Linked DNA regions of Drosophila melanogaster. The protein of the gene in region 1 purifies or fractionates together with the protein of each later gene. This does not show direct contact. Each region holds a gene or a part of one and is shown in the gene's direction. Other genes may lie near its edges.

Region 1 (3,329 bases):
CTAATATTATTATTAGTAAATATGAAGAAAAATTATACATAAAGCCATGTTATTGCACTAATATCCAAATTTCTTAAATATATTCAAGTATTCACCTATAGCATTATCTTTTATTCACAGACCCACGGTGGCAGATAGCGATATCTATGACCTAACCGATTTCCAGAGTCTTCTGGAGGACGAGCACTTGGATTTGGGCAAGAACACCGTGCTCTATTTGCACGGCTACTTGGAAGATCCGGATGTGGAGAGCATTCACGTCATAGCCGAGGCCTATCTGGAGCGAAAGGATACCAATCTTATCGTCCTAGACTGGGGTGAACTGGCCGATGGCAATTACATGTTCGATGCCTTCCCGAACCTCAAACAGCTGGGCCCAGAGTTGGCCAAGGTCCTGCTCAAAATGTTCGACCATGGCCTGGACATTGAGAAGTTCCACATTGTCGGACACTCGATGGGCGGCCAGCTGGCCGGACTCCTCGGCCGAGAGATTACTAAACGCACCAAGGGTGTCAGAAAGATAAAAAGGTAAAATGAAAGAGGTTTGATTTCAAATTATTTATTCATGCTCGGTTCGATTTTAGTCTATGCCGACGTCATGATATACGATGTTTAATATACGATATTTAGTTAATAATTTTAATGTCCAAAGCTTAACACTTTTGTATTACCATATGGTAATACAAAAAGTTTTTTTTTAGAATCGTTGTTCGGCAAAGTTTATAAAGTTTATATTGAATCCTTTTCTTGTCTCACTTATCTCCAATCTTCTTTTATAGAATTTCCGCTTTGGATCCCGCATTTCCGCTCTTCTATCCGGGCACGCACCTGTCTGCCAATGATGCGGAGTTCGTCGACGTGATACACACGGACGCCTGGCTGTACGGAGCTCCGACGAGCACGGGCACGGCGGATTTCTGGCCAAATGGTGGATACAGCCTGCAGCCTGGCTGTCCCAAGCGAAACTACAAGATGCTCAGCGACAACGATCTGTCCAGTCATCGGAGGAGCTGGTGGTTCTGGGCCGAGAGCGTTTCGGATCGATATCCCATTGGATTCGATGCTGTGCCCGCCAAGAAATGGTCGGACTTCAAGCAGAACAAAATAGTAGAGAATTGCCCGCCCGTGGTGATGGGTCATCATTGTCCCACGACGTAAGTTTCTACTTGCCTTATATGCATAGCGCAGAATTTAGTTTCATCATTTGAAATTGTGATTTTCAGAATTCATGGCGACTTTTACTTACAAACCAACGGACATACACCTTTTGCTCGAGGCAAGGAGGGCACTGTCTACGTTGACCCCAAGGATCTGCTGGGAAATACCCACAGCATCACCTGTGACTGCCCGTCGGAGAAAACGAATTAATAAGACCATCTACAATTGCACTGTGTACATTATGAAATGTAGCTATATTAATATTGTTGTTTCTATGACGCCTTACACCACATTTTGATTTACGAGAAAAATATACTTAAATTTTGTTGTTGAAAAAAACTTTGCATTACTTTGGGGTATTTATACATTATTATTGCACTATTTGGGGTTTTAAATGAGTTTTATTAATTACTTTTTTTGAATGGATTTTTTGAACTTTCAAATAATTTAAATCTGGTTGCTGGTTCCGCTCTTGCAATTCATTCCGGAACCAGTTCGAAAGTTGCGATATCGATAACACAGCTATCGACCCGTCAACCTCTGCCACCGATAACATTGTTTGCAACAATTGAGCATATTGACAACAAAACGAAATTCGACAGGCTAAAATGAAGATAAAACTAATAGATTCGGTGGTGCGCAGTTTTAAGGTGGCCAAGATCTTCCGAGAGAACACGGACAAGATCAACGCCATCGATTTTGCGCCCAACGGCGAACATCTAATATCCTGCAGCGAGGATGACCAGATCGTGATCTACGACTGCGAAAAGGGGACGCAGTCGCGCACGGTGAACTCGAAGAAGTATGGAGTGGATTTAATCCACTTTACGCACGCCAACAACACGGCCATCCATAGCTCCACCAAGGTGGACGACACCATACGCTATCTCAGCCTGCACGACAACAAATATCTGCGCTACTTCCCCGGCCACACCAAGAAGGTTATCTCGCTGTGCATTTCGCCGGTGGAGGACACCTTTCTCTCCGGCTCGCTGGACAAGACGCTGCGCCTGTGGGACTTGCGCTCGCCCAACTGCCAGGGACTGATGCATCTCTCTGGACGACCCATTGCTGCCTACGATCCCGAGGGCTTGATCTTCGCCGCTGGCGTTAACTCGGAAAGCATTAAATTGTACGACCTTCGCTCTTTCGACAAAGGCCCCTTCGTCACATTTAAACTTAATCAGGAGAAGGAATGCGACTGGACTGGCCTTAAGTTCTCCCGTGACGGCAAAACAATTCTGATCAGCACGAATGGATCGGTCATCCGGCTCGTAGATGCCTTCCACGGCACTCCGCTACAAACGTTCACGGGCTATCCAAACAACAAGGGCATTCCCATCGAGGCAAGCTTCAGCCCAGACTCGCAGTTCATCTTTTCAGGCAGCACCGATGGACGAGTGCACATCTGGAATGCCGACACTGGCAATAAGGTGTCCGTACTGAATGGTGACCATCCGGGACCGGTGCAATGCGTTCAGTTCAATCCAAAATACATGATGCTGGCGTCCGCGTGCACCAACATGGCTTTTTGGCTGCCCACATCCGAGGAGGGCTTGTAGGCAATGATTCCCGCTTGCTTAGCTTATAAGATTACAATTTAATTTATAAATAATAAATCAACATAACATAAACAGAGGCCTCTAACTGGATTCCTGGGGCTGGTCCTTGTGGCGGTCGTATCCTCTACGTATGCTGTTCAGGAGTTGTCCAAGATTATGACCCATTTTGGCACTAATGCCGAGCACGGGATTTTGCAGGCGACGTTGCAGTTCCTCAAAGTTGTTTTGGCCCTCTTCCACGTCCAGCTTATTGGCCACCACCAATTGCGGGCGACTCGCCAGACGTCCGCCAAACTGGCGGAGTTCGTGCATTAGCTGCTCATAGTGCGTCCATGGCTCCGGTGCACTGGCATCTAACACGAACAGCAACAAGGTGCAACGCTCGGCGTGCTTTAGGAACTGTATGCCCAAGCCCTTATTGCGATGAGCATCGGGCACGAGTCCGGGAAGATCGGCAATGGTGAGCTGGACATGATCATCGTACTGGACGGTTCCCAAGTGCGGACGCAGCGTGGTGAAGGCGTAGGGAGCAACCTTTGGCTTGGCCCGTGTCAGTGCATTCAGTAGGGTGCTTTTGCCAGCATTGGGGTAACCAATCAAACCCACATC
Region 2 (4,991 bases), on another chromosome or scaffold:
CGCTGCAAACGACGCAGATAGATTTTAGAGTGCAGTACGCTTTGGTGTGGCCATATTCTTGGCAGTTGGTGCACTGCACAGGTTGCCTGCGCTTGTGTCGCTATTCTGTGGTTATTCTTCGGGGCAGTAAATACTGTAGCTTATATATAGGATGTACTTCATTTTTGTTGTTTTTCTGACTCGATGTCTCCAGTTCGAATTTAAAGAGTGGCTGCGGCTCTTTATTCCTGTGAGAATGTTGAGAATGTTGATTACCGTTTTGACGTTATAGTTCTTCTCCTTTAGTGCCGCGATAATTTCGGATGAGGTCACTGATGTCTCTATTACTATCCCAGCTTCGTTCAGGTACTTGGACACTGATCGGTGGCTAGACTTATCCTAAGTCTGCACTTTCGTTTCTTGTATGTTGCCCTTAGTAAGTGGTGTAACATGGAACTGTTTTCTCTGATAATTGCAGCTAGCTTGTTAACCAGCGCACTTGAGGTTTTCTCACGTATATAAATTGGTGGCGGCTTTATCTTTTTCTGCTCCTGCTCCTGCACTTCGCGGTCATCCAATGGTACAAACCCATTTGAACTTGAGTCATTGGAGCTGTTGGCGCGACTTATTTTCAGTAACAAACAAATAAACAAATAAGCTCTTAACCGAATTAACATTCTTCAAAACTGTGAACGTGACAGTTTTGGTCCAGAGTGTGCGTGGCAAACAGTTTTGGGGTGAATCAATGGAAATTTACAATAAAAATATGAAAAATATCAATGTATGGCAGCGTAGGGCGGTTTGTGGGCGTTAGAGTGGGCATGGCAAAAAGTGAAAAGTTTAGTTGCAACTGCCAAGCTCGTCAGTGTGGCTAAGACTAAACTTTAAAGCATTTTATCACGATCCGCGCCTTATTTCTATGCCTTTCAATTTTGGTCCATTTAAGAGTAATCATTGAGCGATCCGGAATCCATTTAAACACCAAATCGTGAATCGATAAGCCCCCTCATCGTTGACTCAACAAGCCGGAAACTATTGACCGAAGAAATCATCATACGTATTGACGTACACACAGGACAAGTTTATTCTAAAACACTGACCAAATTCGCACAAATTTGTTATATCCATACTTTTGAAAAAGGCTTGCAAAAGGCTTCATTTTATTTTGTTTGTCCATTGCTACCGACAAGACAAAGTCTATTAGCCACACCCACTCTAACAAGCCTTAAAAAACTGCAGCACACTTTCATAAATGTTTTGATGTTTTTTACTAACGCCCACAAGCCGATATTTTTTATTAGTTTTGTAAATTTCTATCGATTTGCCAAAAAAAAATTTGCCACACCCACTTTAACGCTCTAAAGCCACAAACTGGTCACGCCGACACTTTTGAACAGCTTTTAAATTTTTTCTCATTTAATTCCCCAATATTTATCGCGTTCGAATTCACACCAGCTGAGTAACGGGTATCTGAAAGTCGGGGAACTCGACTATAGCCTTCTCTTTTGTTCTTTGCTAAGCTCTAACGCGATGCCTATAAAATGTTAAAATGTCTTAAAATGTAGCACTCATACATACAAGCTAATTTAGTTTAGGAAAGTGAAAGATAAAGGTAAAAACAGCTCAAAACGCATCGAAAACTCCGTGAAGAGTTTCAACCTTAAATTAACAGAAGCAACAAATACTTAAATTAGATATATGTTAGTAATAAAGAGAAAGAGTCTAGTCACACAAGAGTTTCTACCAATATACATATGAAGCAAATGAATTAATGCATTAAGTTATGGCGTTTCGCCAGCTTTGCCTAATATTTTAATACATTTTTTTTTAAAAAAAAGGCTTATTTAGGACGATCTTACATTACATGAAGTATCAGAATTTAGGAAGGGAAAGAATTCATTAAGAATTTGTATACCAACTAAAACTTTTTGGGTACGCGTCTATCCAACATATAGAAATATATAAAATATTAACTGTGGACAGCAATCCACGTGGTGACGAAGCGCATTAGGAGAGTGTCCGGAGGAGACTTAAAAATCTGTAGTTAAAGTAAATTAGTTTTTTTTAAATTTGGGGCTGCTATGCTGTAACTGAACCCACTGTAAACAAATTACTTACAAAAACACGAAAAAATATATGTGTATATAGGGAGACGAAAGTGTATATTTCATAAGATCTATTTAAAATATTGTTTTTTAAAATAATTTCATATCCGAACTGTTGTAAGTGTATCTTGTTAAGTGTTGTTTCTAATCGCAAAAATCTACCAACTTATCGAGCACACCTGTGGTCTTGTTTATGCTTTCTTATCTAAACGAAAACTTTAAAACAAAAAGGCTAGTTGACGACGCTATCCCCTGTAGTTATTAGAATAATTCATTTTTTAAAATCAGATTCACACTTGGCAACTCACTGATATAACCCTAACAAATAAAAACACAGCTGTGTATTAAAACGTAATTTTTTTATTTCAATCTTATATAATGTATAAGTGATGCAAATAACCTAGACACCAAACCCTGTTATCAACATAAGCCCAGAGCCTACTGTGAAAGTTATTTAAATCAATACCACTTAAACGTTTGAACTCCTTAGGCGAAATAAATCTTATTCACGATCGACAGCAACCTAGGTTCAAACATTTCACACGCCTTTACCGTCGACAGCAGACATAAGCACTTTTCAAACTTTTAAACAAAGAGCGTTCGAACCAATTAGTCAGCATTAAAACTTTTTTAAAGAAAATATCCATCCCGTTTACGTATTCATCAGGTAACAGTTTTAAGGAATCGAAATCTTCTGACCAAAGTCCATTTTCGCTGCCCGTGTCCTTGTCACTGATAAAAACCGTTATTATAAGAATAATGCACTTTGTAAAATCAGTTTCAGATTGAAATTCTTACTGAAATTATTAAAATCTTGCTTGTTAATTTTATTTTCGAAGCGAAAACAAAACTTATATGTTTATGGAAGTATTTCGGAAGTCCACAGAACTCACAAAAGTTAAAACAAAAATAGATTTGACTTCAACCAAACTTTTTATTTGATTCTTAATAAAAATTGGTGGGGTATGTATTTAATTACCGTTCAGTTTCGCCCATTATATTATAGAGTTAAGAATATATTATATTATATATAATATATATTATATTATAGGGTTATAGATTAAGAACGCTTAAATGCAACTAAAGGCAACGCAACTACATGAAAGTAATACGTATTTTTTTTTAAATGTAATATATGATTCGGATTATTAACTTTTCTTGGCCTAGAATTTTCTTTACGGTATTATGAAATATAGAAACAACATTTACCCAACTCCCCAAATTAGCCATAGTCTGAACTAGTTATTATTTACGAAATCGATTTCATAATTATCGCCCCTAGAAATCGAAAGCCTCGTTTTTGTGTATTATTTGCATTGTGATTCAATATTTCATATATTTGAGAGTTAATTTTATCATCCAACCAATATAATGATTAAAAAAGTAATTTAATTATTTGTTTTTTAATTAAAAAAGCAGCGTGAACGATTTTAATATAATTATATATTATATATTCGCTGTTGATCCCTTTCAAATAAAAACATCGCAGAAAATTTTTTGTGATATTTCTAAATATTTTTATATTCTATTATTTTGTTAATAAGTAAAATAGGTATGTAAGATTTTATATTCAAGAAGCAATAAATTTCTTTAAAATTGTTGTGTTATATATAGCTTTTACAGTTCCTGAGTTTTAGGTTTGTTCATAATTGACACAGATGCAGGACGTTCGGAATATCAACCTGGTCAACAATTCCAGCAACAGCCATGATTCGTCTCTGGCAAACTCCAAAATGCCGCGCAACTTTAAACTGCTATCTGATCCACAGTTGGTTAAATGTGGTACCAGACTCTATCGTTACGATGGTTTAATGCCAGGAGACCCGTCCTATCCAACAATAACACCTAGAGATCCTCGGAATCCACTTATTCGCATACGCGCCAGGGCTGTTGAACCACTTATGCTTCTTATTCCGAGGTAACCATTGCTTAAATTAAAATATTTCAGCTAAACACCTGGTCCGTACCCATAGGTTTGTCATCGATAGCGACTACGTGGGCCAGCCACCTGCAGTCGAAGTTACAATAGTGAACCTAAATGATAACATCGACAAGCAATTTCTTGCTAGCATGCTGGACAAATGTGGAACATCTGATGAAATAAATATTTACCATCATCCCATCACAAACAAACACTTGGGCATTGCACGTATAGTGTTTGATAGTACAAAGGGAGCGAGACAATTCGTTGAAAAATACAATCAAAAGTCTGTAATGGGAAAGGTATGATGAAGTTTTTCAGCTTTTGTCTTGTTCTAATGTATCTATGTATTGTAGATCTTAGATGTGTTTTGCGATCCTTTTGGTGCCACATTAAAAAAATCTCTTGAGAGCCTTACAAATTCAGTCGCTGGAAAACAATTAATAGGTCCAAAAGTAACACCGCAATGGACATTTCAGCAGGCGGCTTTGGAGGACACCGAATTCATCCACGGATATCCTGAAAAGAACGGCGAACACATAAAGGATATCTACACCACACAAACCAATCATGAAATTCCAAACCGCAGTAGGGATCGAAACTGGAATCGCGACAAGGAAAGAGAAAGAGATCGCCATTTTAAGGAGCGCAGTCGACACTCGTCAGAGCGAAGTTATGACCGTGATCGTGGAATGCGAGAAAACGTTGGAACTTCAATAAGGCGTCGCCGTACTTTTTATCGACGCCGTTCTAGTGATATATCGCCGGAAGATTCTCGGGATATATTGATCATGACAAGAGAAAGATCTAGAGATTCAGATTCACGTCCTCGTGATTATTGTCGTTCTAGGGAGCGAGAGTCGTTTCGAGACCGTAAAAGATCTCATGAAAAAGGCCGAGACCAGCCCAGAGAAAAAAGAGAACATTATTATAACTCATCTAAAGATCGAGAGTACCGCGGGAGAGATCGCGACCGATCTGCTGAA

What was found. Proteins that work in one complex are often made in the same cells at the same time.
Region 2: the proteins of Wdr82 (region 1) and Set1 purify together in Drosophila melanogaster (affinity purification with mass spectrometry, with the first as the bait; one large-scale study listed by BioGRID). This does not show direct contact.

Annotation. Positions count from the first base shown.
Region 1 is NT_033779.5:8,372,761-8,376,089, forward strand, and holds Wdr82 (WD repeat domain 82), read left to right. Parts: upstream 1-1,700; 5' UTR 1,701-1,766; coding exon 1,767-2,720; 3' UTR 2,721-2,789; downstream 2,790-3,329. Other genes in the region: CG17292 (uncharacterized protein), read left to right, coding at 121-528, 780-1,154, 1,224-1,368; CG13390 (uncharacterized protein), read right to left, coding at 2,802-3,329. UniProt on the Drosophila melanogaster protein: Component of the SET1 complex that specifically di- and trimethylates 'Lys-4' of histone H3.
Region 2 is NT_037436.4:25,105,603-25,110,593, forward strand, and holds the start of Set1 (SET domain containing 1), read left to right. Parts: upstream 1-1,991; 5' UTR 1,992-2,028; intron 2,029-3,394; exon of another isoform or gene 3,395-3,636; intron 3,637-3,675; exon of another isoform or gene 3,676-3,698; 5' UTR 3,699-3,742; coding exon 3,743-4,002; intron 4,003-4,057; coding exon 4,058-4,307; intron 4,308-4,361; coding exon 4,362-4,991. UniProt on the Drosophila melanogaster protein: Catalytic component of the COMPASS (Set1C) complex that specifically mono-, di- and trimethylates histone H3 to form H3K4me1/2/3. Binds RNAs which might negatively affect its histone methyltransferase activity.